2 linked regions of the Caenorhabditis elegans genome follow. The protein of the gene in region 2 interacts with the protein of the main gene of each other region in a pairwise test. Each region holds a gene or a part of one and is shown on either strand. Other genes may lie near its edges. The genes, in order: mig-5 and F53F10.1.

Evidence for each region.
Region 1: the proteins of F53F10.1 (region 2) and mig-5 interact in a two-hybrid assay, tested with the Caenorhabditis elegans proteins (2 studies listed by BioGRID).

Annotation. Positions count from the first base shown.
Region 1 is NC_003280.10:8,181,799-8,186,937, forward strand, and holds mig-5 (Segment polarity protein dishevelled homolog mig-5), read right to left. Parts: upstream 3,226-5,139; 5' UTR 3,211-3,225; coding exon 3,172-3,210; intron 3,106-3,171; coding exon 2,957-3,105; intron 2,903-2,956; coding exon 2,749-2,902; intron 2,708-2,748; coding exon 2,632-2,707; intron 2,580-2,631; coding exon 2,102-2,579; intron 2,060-2,101; coding exon 1,937-2,059; intron 1,891-1,936; coding exon 1,565-1,890; intron 1,517-1,564; coding exon 992-1,516; intron 842-991; coding exon of another isoform or gene 829-841; coding exon 680-828; 3' UTR 525-679; downstream 1-524. Other genes in the region: dylt-3 (DYnein Light chain (Tctex type)), read left to right, coding at 20-26, 72-511; cct-1 (T-complex protein 1 subunit alpha), read left to right, coding at 3,648-3,723, 3,768-4,191, 4,236-4,541, 4,587-5,139. UniProt on the Caenorhabditis elegans protein: Plays a role in the signal transduction pathways mediated by multiple Wnt genes. Functions redundantly with other dishevelled family members throughout development.
Region 2 is NC_003279.8:3,833,413-3,839,548, forward strand, and holds F53F10.1 (Coiled-coil domain-containing protein 102A), read right to left. Parts: upstream 4,396-6,136; 5' UTR 4,337-4,395; coding exon 4,288-4,336; intron 2,362-4,287; coding exon 2,264-2,361; intron 2,215-2,263; coding exon 2,135-2,214; intron 1,788-2,134; coding exon 1,715-1,787; intron 1,175-1,714; coding exon 749-1,174; 3' UTR 703-748; downstream 1-702. Other genes in the region: azin-1 (Antizyme inhibitor 1), read left to right, coding at 1-158, 210-378; gsp-4 (Serine/threonine-protein phosphatase PP1-delta), read right to left, coding at 4,977-5,045, 5,092-5,484, 5,564-6,019.

The sequences.
Region 1 (5,139 bases), on a different chromosome or scaffold from region 2:
ATTCATTCCTTGTTTCAAAATGACAGGTTAGTTTTCTTTGTCACATTATGCAACATCATTTGAAATTTTAGACACTTCTACAACTTCTTCTGTAGCAAAGCGGCAAATTGAATCAAAAAACGCTCAGCTTTTGAGACAATTGATTGAAAAGAAAAATAAGAAACTCAAAAAGAAAGTCTATTCAAATGCCGAAGAACAAGAAATTGATTTAATTATTCAAAAATCATTTGATTCAATAATTGGTAAAACTCCATATTCTCCATTCAAAATGTCTGATTGGATGAGCAAGATGATCCAAACAATTTCGGATAATTTAGTGAAGCTCAATGGAAGCAAAAAGTTTTTGGTTCATTGTACTATTTCTGCAAAAACCGATAATCTTGCAATTTGCACGGCCAACATGTGCTCCTGGGATACTACGAAGGATACTGCATACTACTCGGAATGGATGTCTAAAACTATCTTCGGTGCTGTCCAAGTCTTCTTCATCACACATCGTTTTTCGAAGTGAACATCGTCATGAAGAAATTTAAAATAATTCATAAATAGACTCAAAATTACATGAATGAATGAAAACGTTAGTCTTACTGAAATACATGAAAACAGGGCATAGTTTTAAATATTAATAAAGCATGTGGGAATTAAGGCGAGAATCGGTAAAGGCAATGAGTTTTAAATTTTAAGTCCGTAAAATACGCGTTCTGCTGTTGCTACTGTTCTCCCCGTCGAAATCGTGGTTGACTGCGTTCTGCGACTGAATCGGAGAAGCTGCTAGAACCATAGTACTGGATAGAGGAGTCGGCGGAGGGCCTCCTAAGCCACCACTTCCTGGAATTTGTAACTAATTTGGTTGGGGAAATACTGTTATGTGAAAAGTCATTTGGATACAAAGGGTACAGTAGTCAAGAAACAGCAAATACTATATCAATTGAAATGAATATTTGCTTCAAATTTAACTCCTGCACCCTATAGAAACGATTAATTTTCTCACCGTTTGTCAAGCTTGAGGATGTCACTTGAGAAGGTGCCGGTACCTGACGGTGATTATTTTTCGTCCCAAAAACATGATAATTTCCGACTGGATTCATTCCAATTTGGCTTTCTCCGACCATCGATGCGTAATCATTTGTCATAGGACTCTCACAATCTCGACGTCTTCGAAGCCATGTTTGGTCATGAGCAACTGGGCTTAGAGTAGTGGTTTCTAATCGATGAGGAATATTTCTTCCAACTCGTGCTGCCAGAGCATGTGGTGCTGGTGAGCCAACATACGTCACTTCAGTAGTTGCTTCAACTCGCATTGTAGTTCCACTCGTACCAGTGGTGTCCGTGGAATTACGATCATTGCCAAGAATTCCATCACCGAATACATAGTAGCACTTTTCTGTGAATGTCAACTTGCTGACGACATGTCTGATAAGACCAGCAGCTAACAATCTCGCAGCATAGATTCTAGCTTTCTTCCGATTATGAATATCAGCCATGTGATCAACGAGCCAATCGACTAGATCTCGGCCTAAACGTTGATTGTTTGGATCCTAATACTTGAATGTTCAGTACTCACCAATAAAAGACATTGGAACCAAAATTTTCAGCCATTTTCGATTTTTGACAGCTAATCCTGAATCCGGACGAGCCATAGAACGAACAACAATAATGGGATCAATCATTTCTGTGAGTTGCTCTATTTTTTCATTTTGCTCATTTTCTCGTTTTCTTTCTGCTTCTTCAATCAAAGCTCTTGGAATTCCATTTCTACGTTGATCGTAAAGCATTCGCTCCTCATCATCAGAAGCTGTCGATGTAAATGGAAGAGTTCCGTCATCAATTGTAGTTGCCGTTTGCTCCTGTGGATCCAAACCCAGAGCTTTCATTTTTTCAGTGTTCTGCCTGTAAGTATCAAATTAAGAAAATAAATCTTGCGAGGTACCCTTACACAGCGGTTTCTACCCAAACTCCAACGTCGAGGGGCATCGTTTCAGACGCCATGGACGCGAGTGGATCATCATATTCACTTGGGGCACCTCTTGCAAACTTACTGATATAAAGAGTAATTGGTCTAAAAATTAAAAAAAATTAATGCTAATGCGTAGAAAAATACCTTTTGGAGGATGCAGCTTCTCTGAGCGAACGAACTGCTTGAGGCCCACTGAGTTCTTCAAAGGATACTCTATTAACTTGAAGAATCTGATCACCAACGTTCACACGTCCATCTTTTTCAACGGCACCTTCTGGTGCAATTTCGGAAACGAATATATGACCATCAATTGTGCACACGCTCAGTCCCAGATATGGAACATTTTTCATTGGTAGATAAATTTCCAGAATTCGAGGGAGGCCGCTGTTAACACTTGATTCCGTCGCTGAGCTAATAGTACTTGGAACATACGGTCTTCTGAATCTTTCTTTCTTTTGTTTTTTCCTTCTTCTATCGTCATCGTATATCTTATTCATATCACGAGCAGCGAGAGGTTCGTAGAGCGAAGAATCATCTCCTGTTCGACGTGTATGCTCGTCATATTGATACGGATCCTCTGAATTTGAAGTGTATAATTCTGCCAGATGCTCTCCTGCTCTTCCTGAAAAACGTTCATACAGGTTTTTAAGAGTACATAAATAGCAAAAACTCACTGCTAACAATGGTGCTCGGAGCAAGACTAGCATCAGAGTACGGAGTCGCGTCAAAGTCTGCACTTCGTCGGCGGCGCTTAAAATATCAGTTTTTTTTGAAAATAACAGAAATCGAACCTTATCTAGAGCAGTTCTCTGTGGTCGCGTCATTGTTCCACTGTTTCGAGGAAGAGTTCCATATCCTGGAGTGCTAACGAGAAAAATCTCATAAAATCCATTCTGGGATTTGCGCAGCCGATCCGAATCAGTTGTTAATTCGACTTTAACTTCTCTGAACATTTTTCAGTACAGAATAATTACAAAAATTAAAAAAGCCAAAACTCACCGTTGAATATCCGGGTCAAGTTCCTTCGCATAATACTTATATCCACGCTTGGTGAATGAATTTTTGAAATTTCCAAGCGTCGCTACTCCTTCTCTGGCTTCAATAACAGAAACATAGGGAGTCGTTTCATCGTCGAGATAGTAGAAGACCTGGAAGAAAATTATTTCTGTTTAATCACTGGCTTAATAAAAAACAATTCTGATCAAAATTCTTACTTTTATCTGGCTGCAGTCTGATGTGCATGGCGGCTCCATAAATGTTAGAAATCTGAATTCAATATTTTAAATTATAGACCAATAAAATATTTATAAAAATTACAAGAGGAAACAAAAAAAACAAATTTGTTTGCAAAGGACTAGCGGAAACAATTTTATTTTTAATTTATCGGCAATAAATCGCGGGTGGGAACAATGTTGCAAATACGCCCTAGTGACAGCTGGTGTTGGGTCTCGGCACGATTACCCTTCTAGCATGCATGAAGTACGATGCGCTCTGAGAATATTCTACAAGAATTTTAATTTTGATTCAGAATTCAAGGGATCCCCGATTTTCTGGAAGCATTTTTATTTTTACTGAAATATTTTCATTTTTACGTATATTTTTATTTTTGAGTGCTTATTCAAAGCCCCTTTTTGACTCAATATCGAATGTCCTACTCTATTGCTAAGTTAATACGGTTGTGTTTCAGGTAATGGCATCAGCTGGAGATTCCATTCTTGCCCTCACCGGTAAAAGAACTACTGGACAAGGCATCAGATCTCAGAATGGTAACACCGAAAGCTCAATATAAGTATACATTAATTAATTGCAGTCACCGCGGCAGTTGCGATCGCCAATATTGTGAAGTCATCTCTTGGCCCTGTCGGACTTGATAAAATGCTTGTCGATGATGTTGGAGATGTCATTGTCACAAATGACGGAGCCACAATTCTGAAACAACTCGAGGTTGAGCATCCGGCTGGAAAAGTGCTTGTAGAACTTGCACAGCTGCAAGACGAGGAGGTCGGAGATGGAACTACTTCTGTCGTTATTGTGGCGGCTGAGCTCTTGAAGAGAGCCGATGAGCTTGTGAAACAAAAAGTTCATCCGACGACTATTATCAATGGTTACCGTCTCGCGTGCAAGGAAGCCGTCAAGTACATTAGTGAAAACATCTCATTCACTTCCGACTCGATTGGTAGACAATCAGTTGTCAACGCTGCCAAAACTTCCATGAGCAGTAAGATTATCGGACCGTGAGTTTGGTGTTGTCTATGCTTCAAGAAAATTGATTTTTCAGAGACGCCGATTTCTTCGGAGAGCTGGTTGTTGATGCCGCGGAAGCTGTTCGTGTGGAAAATAACGGGAAAGTCACTTATCCTATCAATGCAGTCAATGTTCTGAAGGCCCACGGAAAGAGCGCTCGCGAATCAGTTTTGGTGAAAGGATATGCACTCAATTGCACAGTTGCCAGTCAGGCCATGCCACTTCGTGTTCAAAATGCCAAGATCGCATGTCTCGATTTCTCTTTGATGAAGGCTAAGATGCACCTCGGTATTTCAGTCGTTGTTGAAGATCCAGCCAAGCTTGAGGCTATTCGCAGAGAGTGAGTTGAAACTATTCGTTTCTTTTTAAGCTATGGAATTTTCAGAGAATTCGATATTACCAAACGCCGCATTGATAAAATTTTGAAAGCCGGAGCCAACGTTGTTCTTACAACTGGAGGTATCGATGATTTGTGCTTGAAGCAATTTGTCGAATCTGGAGCTATGGCTGTTCGTCGATGCAAGAAATCAGACTTGAAGAGAATTGCCAAAGCTACTGGAGCCACATTGACTGTTTCCTTGGCTACTTTGGAAGGAGATGAAGCTTTCGATGCCTCGCTTCTTGGACATGCCGATGAAATTGTTCAAGAAAGAATTAGTGACGACGAGCTCATTCTCATCAAGGGACCGAAATCTCGTACTGCCAGCAGCATTATCCTCCGTGGAGCGAACGATGTGATGCTCGATGAAATGGAGAGATCGGTTCACGACTCACTCTGTGTTGTTCGTAGAGTTCTGGAAAGCAAGAAACTTGTGGCTGGAGGAGGTGCTGTTGAGACTTCTCTCAGTCTTTTCCTTGAAACTTATGCACAAACCTTGTCTTCTCGCGAGCAGCTTGCTGTTGCTGAATTCGCTTCAGCGCTTCTCATCATTCCGAAG
Region 2 (6,136 bases):
ACTTTGGATGGAACCGATGTTGCTCAAAGACTCATGAAAAGCCGTCAATTGCGTGTCGGCGAGTGGCTCGTTTGGGAACAAATGGGCGCTTTCACAATTCCTGTTGACAGTGAGCATTCGGTGCCGCCTGTGTATTACTATTCTGGAAAAGAATGCTGGTGAGAACTTTTGAACCTTGAGATTTTGAAATTAAATTTGAATTATTCCAGGCAAAAACTAATCCACAAAGATGAACAACGCCGTTCTCCATCGCCAAGTGTCAGTGACAACGAAGATATTGGAAGTGATGGTGAAGGTGGCTACGCATCTTCATGTGAGGATTCGGAGGCGGAGATGGCTTTGGAGCCATTGATCGAGGATTTGAACGAATTCTTTTGATTGTTCCTAAGACTCCCCTGCTCATCCTGGAGACACAAATAATATTCAAATATTCCCCATTTATATTTCAAAAACTTTCTAGGTCATTTTTCTTCTTTTAATTCCTATTTTCTATTTCTCGAAACCTGTCCGTGATCCAATCTGTCTTTTTCAAACTAAAAAATCTTGATTCCAATTTTTTTCTCTCGATTTCTCTTTTTTTGCTCTTTCGGATTGTGTTATATTCCTGATTTCCTGAATTTTTTCCTGAAATTTCATATGTTTCCTGACCACGAAATTTGAATTTGAATTCGAATTCCTTTGAAAAAAGAAATAAAGGTCGAAGAAGTTAAAATAGTTTATTTTATTTACTCAAAAAAAAAAGAAACATTTAGGAACTGCTTGCTCTTTTTGAATTTTTTGCCGCCATCAGCTCCCTCTCCATACTTTGGATTCGTAAACGGAGATCCTGGATTGTCTTTCCATCGGTTTCAATCTTCTCTCGACACTTGTTCAACTCATTCGCCTGATCCTTCAGGAATTCATTTTCAGCCTTCAATTCTTCATTTATATCGGATTTAGTCGTCTCAACGGGCGGCTCATCGACACTTGGCTCACGAAGAACTGCTTCAATTTGAGCCGCCGAATAACTTTTGACTAGAATTGATGGAGGATCACATGAAATTGAATGAATTGTCTGAACAACTGCATTTCGTTTGGTTCCGTCGATTTCTGGTTTTTGAGAGATTTCGAGTTTTGGCTCGTCGGATTCCGAGTCGACGTGGTACAGTTGTTCCGCTAGAAATCTCTTTTCTTCCTGAAAAAATGTTTAAAATTTAAAATTTAGCAATGGGTCCAGGCACGAATGAAATGTTCCAACTACCGTACCCGCAGCAGTTATTCTAGCAATTTTCGCTGAATTTCCCATTAAAACTATTAAACGCGATGGTACGGTTGCTGTAAAGTTCGTATTTATAGTACCAGGACCTAATTGTATTATGGAAACTATTATGGGAACACCGAATTCCGAAAATACGTATTGCGCAACATATTTGACGCGCAAAATATCTTGTAGCGAAAACTACAGTAATTCTTTAAAATACTACTGGCCCGATTTTGCGTTGTTTTTTTCTCATTTATTGGTGAAAATTTTTAGAATAGCATCGAATTGAAAAAAAGCACGAAAAAGTACACGAAAATCTGTGCTACAGTAGTCATTTAATGGATTACTGTAGTTTTCGCTACGAGATATTTTGCGCGTCAGATATGTTGCACAATACGCATTCTCAGAATTTTGTGTTCGCGTAATATATGAATTGCGCAATAACATGCAAGAGAAAAAAGAAGAAAAACCTACGAGGAGAAGATCATAATTGAGTCGTAATGTTTCAGCTTCTTCACGAGCACGATTCCTCTCGTCTCGAACAGCACTGAAAATTAAAATTTCCAATTTCTTTTAACAATTATCTTTAAACAAAACGTTTTTAGGGATTCCATAGGAGTTTCAGAACGTCCCACAGAACGAAGATTTCTACGTGGACTTGATAAACTAAGCAATTTATCTACAACTTTTCACCCCAAAATTTTCTGAAATTTTCCGAAATGAGTTCAACTCTCCACTGCGGGAAAATTTTTTTACAAATTTTTTCCACCCAAAAAAAAGGGAAACGAAAAAAAAAGTTTCTAACTCATTTTATGAGGGTGGCCGAGTTTTTTTAGTTTTCGCACCCATAAGAGGAGAGAGAAATAATAGGCGCCCCCGTACCGTCTAACTTACCTCCATCGATTCCTCCAGTCTGCTGTACAACTAGACCACCATCTCATGGTTTTCTCCATTTGTGCAGCGCGATCTCTTGCCTGAAATTGAAATTGTTCTAGTCACATATTTGAACTGACAAATTCGTACCTCTTTCAGTTCACCTAACCTAATTCGTTCACAAATGTCCCAGTCTGTGTGTTGGCACCGTCGGACAGCCCATGTACGGAGAAAGTGCATATCGGTGTCTGAAAATAATTGAGGATTCAGGTAAAGTTATTTGAATGGAAAAAAGTGCATGCGCCTTTAAAGATATTTAAGTATACAGGACTGTCATTTTTTGTTGGTATTTTGGAAAAAAACATAGTTTGGGCAAACGATTTTTTTTTCCGGAAAACCGGCAATCCGGCAAATTGCCGGAATTGAAATTTCCGGCAAATCGGCAAATTACCGTAATTGAAATTTCCAGCCAATCGGCAAATTGTCGGAATTGAAATTTCCAGCAAATCGGCAAATTGTCGGAATTGAAATTTCCGGCAAATCGACAAATTGCCGGAATTGGAGTTTCCGGCAAATCGGTAAATTGCCGGAATTGAAATTTCCGGCAAATCGGCAATCCGGCAAATTGCCGGAATTGAAATTTCCAGAAAATCGGCAAATTGCCGGAATTGAAATTTCATGCAAATCGGCAAATTGTGGGAATTGAAATTTCCGGCAAATCGACAAATTGCCGGAATTGGAGTTTCCGGCAAATCGGTAAATTGCCGGAATTGAAATTTCCGGCAAATCGGCAATCCGGCAAATTGCCGGAATTGAAATTTCCAGAAAATCGGCAAATTGCCGGAATTGAAATTTCATGCAAATCGGCAAATTGTGGGAATTTAAATTTCCAGCAATTGGGCAAAGTGCCGGAATTTAAATTTCCAGCAAATCGGCAAATTGCCGGAATTGAAATTTCATGCAAATCGGCAAATTGTGGGAATTTAAATTTCCAGCAATTGGGCAAATTGCCGGAATTGAAATTTCCAGAAAATCGGCAAATTGCCGGAATTGAAATTTCATGCAAATCGGCAAATTGTGGGAATTTAAATTTCCAGCAATTGGGCAAAGTGCCGGAATTTAAATTTCCAGCAAATCGGCAAATTGCCGGAATTGAAATTTCCAGCAAATCGGCAAATTGCCGGAATTGAAATTTCCAGAAAATCGGCAAATTGCCGGAATTTAAATTTCCAGCAAATCGGCAAATTGCCGGAATTGAAATTTCCAGCAAATCGGCAAATTGCCGGAATTTAAATTTCCAGAAAATCGGCAAATTGCCGGAATTGAAATTTCCGGCAAATCGACAAATTTCCGGAATTGGAGTTTCCGGCAAATCGGCCATCCGGCACGTTGCCGGAATTGAAATTTCCAGCAAATCGGCAAACCGGCAAATTGCCGGAATTGAAATTTCTGACAAATCGGCAAACTGCCGGAATTGAGATTTTTGGCAAATCGGCAAATTGCCGGAATTGAAATTTCCGGCAAATCGGCAAATCGGCAAATTGCCAGAATTTAAATTTCCGGTAAATGGGCAATTCGACAAATTGCCGATGTGCCGAAATTGTCGGAAAAACGACAATTACCGATAAATTTCGGCGAATTGTGGGTTCGTACATTTATTTTTTTGAAATTTCAGAACTTTAATTTCAATCTGCGAATTTCAACCCGTGAATGTTCCTACATCTAAGCAAATTCTATGAAAATATCTAAAGAAAACGGCAAAAAAATTTCCAAAAGGCATAGTGTTTCCGTCCTATGAAAAAAACCCTCTCAACATTTCCGGCAAATCTGCGGCAAATCGGCAAATTGCCGAAACTGAAAATTTCCAGCGAATCGGCAAAACCGGCAATTGTCGATGTGCCGATTTTGCTGGGAAAAAAATGTGCCGCAATTCCCGCCCACTGTTGATTCCGATTTTATTTGCTAGTGGAAAAATGGATAAAATTAAATTTAGAAAATGTATGAAATTTAGAAATCAAGTTTCGATTTTAGTTTGTCTTGATTGTGAAACACAAAACGGGCAAATTTATTTTAATTTCGAGAGAATAATTCGAAATAAATGGATTTTTTTGCAGATTGTATTAACTAGATACATATCAATTTTTTACTCCAAAAAATTAAAATTTAAAACTAACCATTATTATCGATATATCTATTCCCAATGGAAGCAATGGAGTCGGCCATTTGGAAGATTTGTTCTCGAGCCGAAATGTGTATAATAGAGAGGAGCAAGAGTAGTGACCGGTTTGAAAGGAAGAGTGTCAGCTGTTATAAGAGATGTGTAATAGGATCAGTCGTTTAGAGTTTCGCAGACGAGAAAAGACACCTTTGAAGTGAAAACGTCATTTGGAAAAAGGCTGAAAATTTTCTTCCGGTGAACTTGTTGTCTGGAAACTCGAGAAATGAACTTCCGGTCCGATGCTAAAAAACAACAAAATCAAAGATTCAAGAATTTTCAGATTAATCTCTCCCAAGAGTTCCTGGCGTTGCTCAGGCTCGGCAGCTCAGGCAGAGAGGCAAGCATTAAACGTTTTCCGACAATTTTTTCAAAGATTTTCTGCGAAATGATGCAATGATTGCAGAGTAATACAGGTAGCCAAGACAAGCAGGCAGGATTTTATGCATGCTAGGAATAGTCATGATCTTTCCAAGCAGATACTAGGAATTTGTATATATGTATTTATGACTGGTGCGATCGGAACAAAATAGTAAAAAATAGTAGCTCTTTCAATAATTATTCATTCTTTCAAACACATAATTTGAGTAAACACCGTTTTCATTTTTCTCTTTTGGTTGGTTGGTTGGTGGTGGCAATCTATCGATCCTATCCTTTACGAAGAGACTTCGGAGTTGGCTTGTACATGACGAAAGTACAGACCATGTTCTCATCGACCTATAATATTCAATTTTCACAGAGAAGTTATAATAAAGAATCTCACCTTCATTGTTGCAGCCGAATTGTCAAACTGTCCGCAGTAGTGAGGCGCCGAGAAAATGGTGACCATCTTCTTGGAGGCGAAGAACTCGTAGCCGTCTTGAACGACTTGATGTGCACGAGCAACCAAGTCGATGTCAAGTCTCGAGCAAACGTCAGCAACAACATCCTGTCCAAAGACATAAGAGACTCCACGAGTATTTGCCTGCCATCCCTTCACCCATTGATCCGGATCAGCCCACAACAAGTCGATTCCAATCGATGGATTTGGTGGATCCTGAGGGCGAGGAAGTTGACGGAGTTGATCAAGAGTTTGGAGGTGTGGGGAGAGGCCACCATGCATGCAGAGGATGCGGGAACCAATGAGTCCACAGAGAGGCATCCAGTTGAACGTGTCCTGTAAATGGGGAATTGAGAGATTTGTTTCATTATTACGCAGCGAAGTAAGTTGACAAAATGCTTTCTGCTCCCCTTACCTGGAAGATTGACCAGAGACGAGTCGACTTGTAACGACGGTTGCACTCCTCGTAGAACCCATAGACACGATTGATGGCTGGGCACTCGTGGTTTCCACGAAGCATGAAGAAGTTCTCCGGATACTTGATCTTGAAGCAGAACATCAAACAGATTGTCTCAATATTCTGTCTTCCACGATCCACATAATCTCCCAGGAACAAAAAATTGATATCCGGTGGGAATCCATTCTTGTCAAAGATGCGCAAAAGGTCCGAGTACTGTCCGTGGATGTCTCCGCACACGATGATCGGCGGCTCAACCTCCAGGAGTGATGCTTGGGAGGCGAACACCGACTTGGCCACAGCGCAGCACGTCTGGAGTTCCTGCTCGTTGACAGAAGTTGTCAGTCTTCCACCGGACATGCCGACATTGAGCAAACGGCTCATCAAGTTATCGACATCGATTGTCGCTGTCATTATTGTTCTTCTTTACTGAAAAATTGTTGGCTTTATTGGCTGTGAGCTAGCGCGGAAAGTATGATGAATAGCCGGCAAGTGGGCTAAAAGCTGGTGAAAGCTTGGCCGATTTGGGGA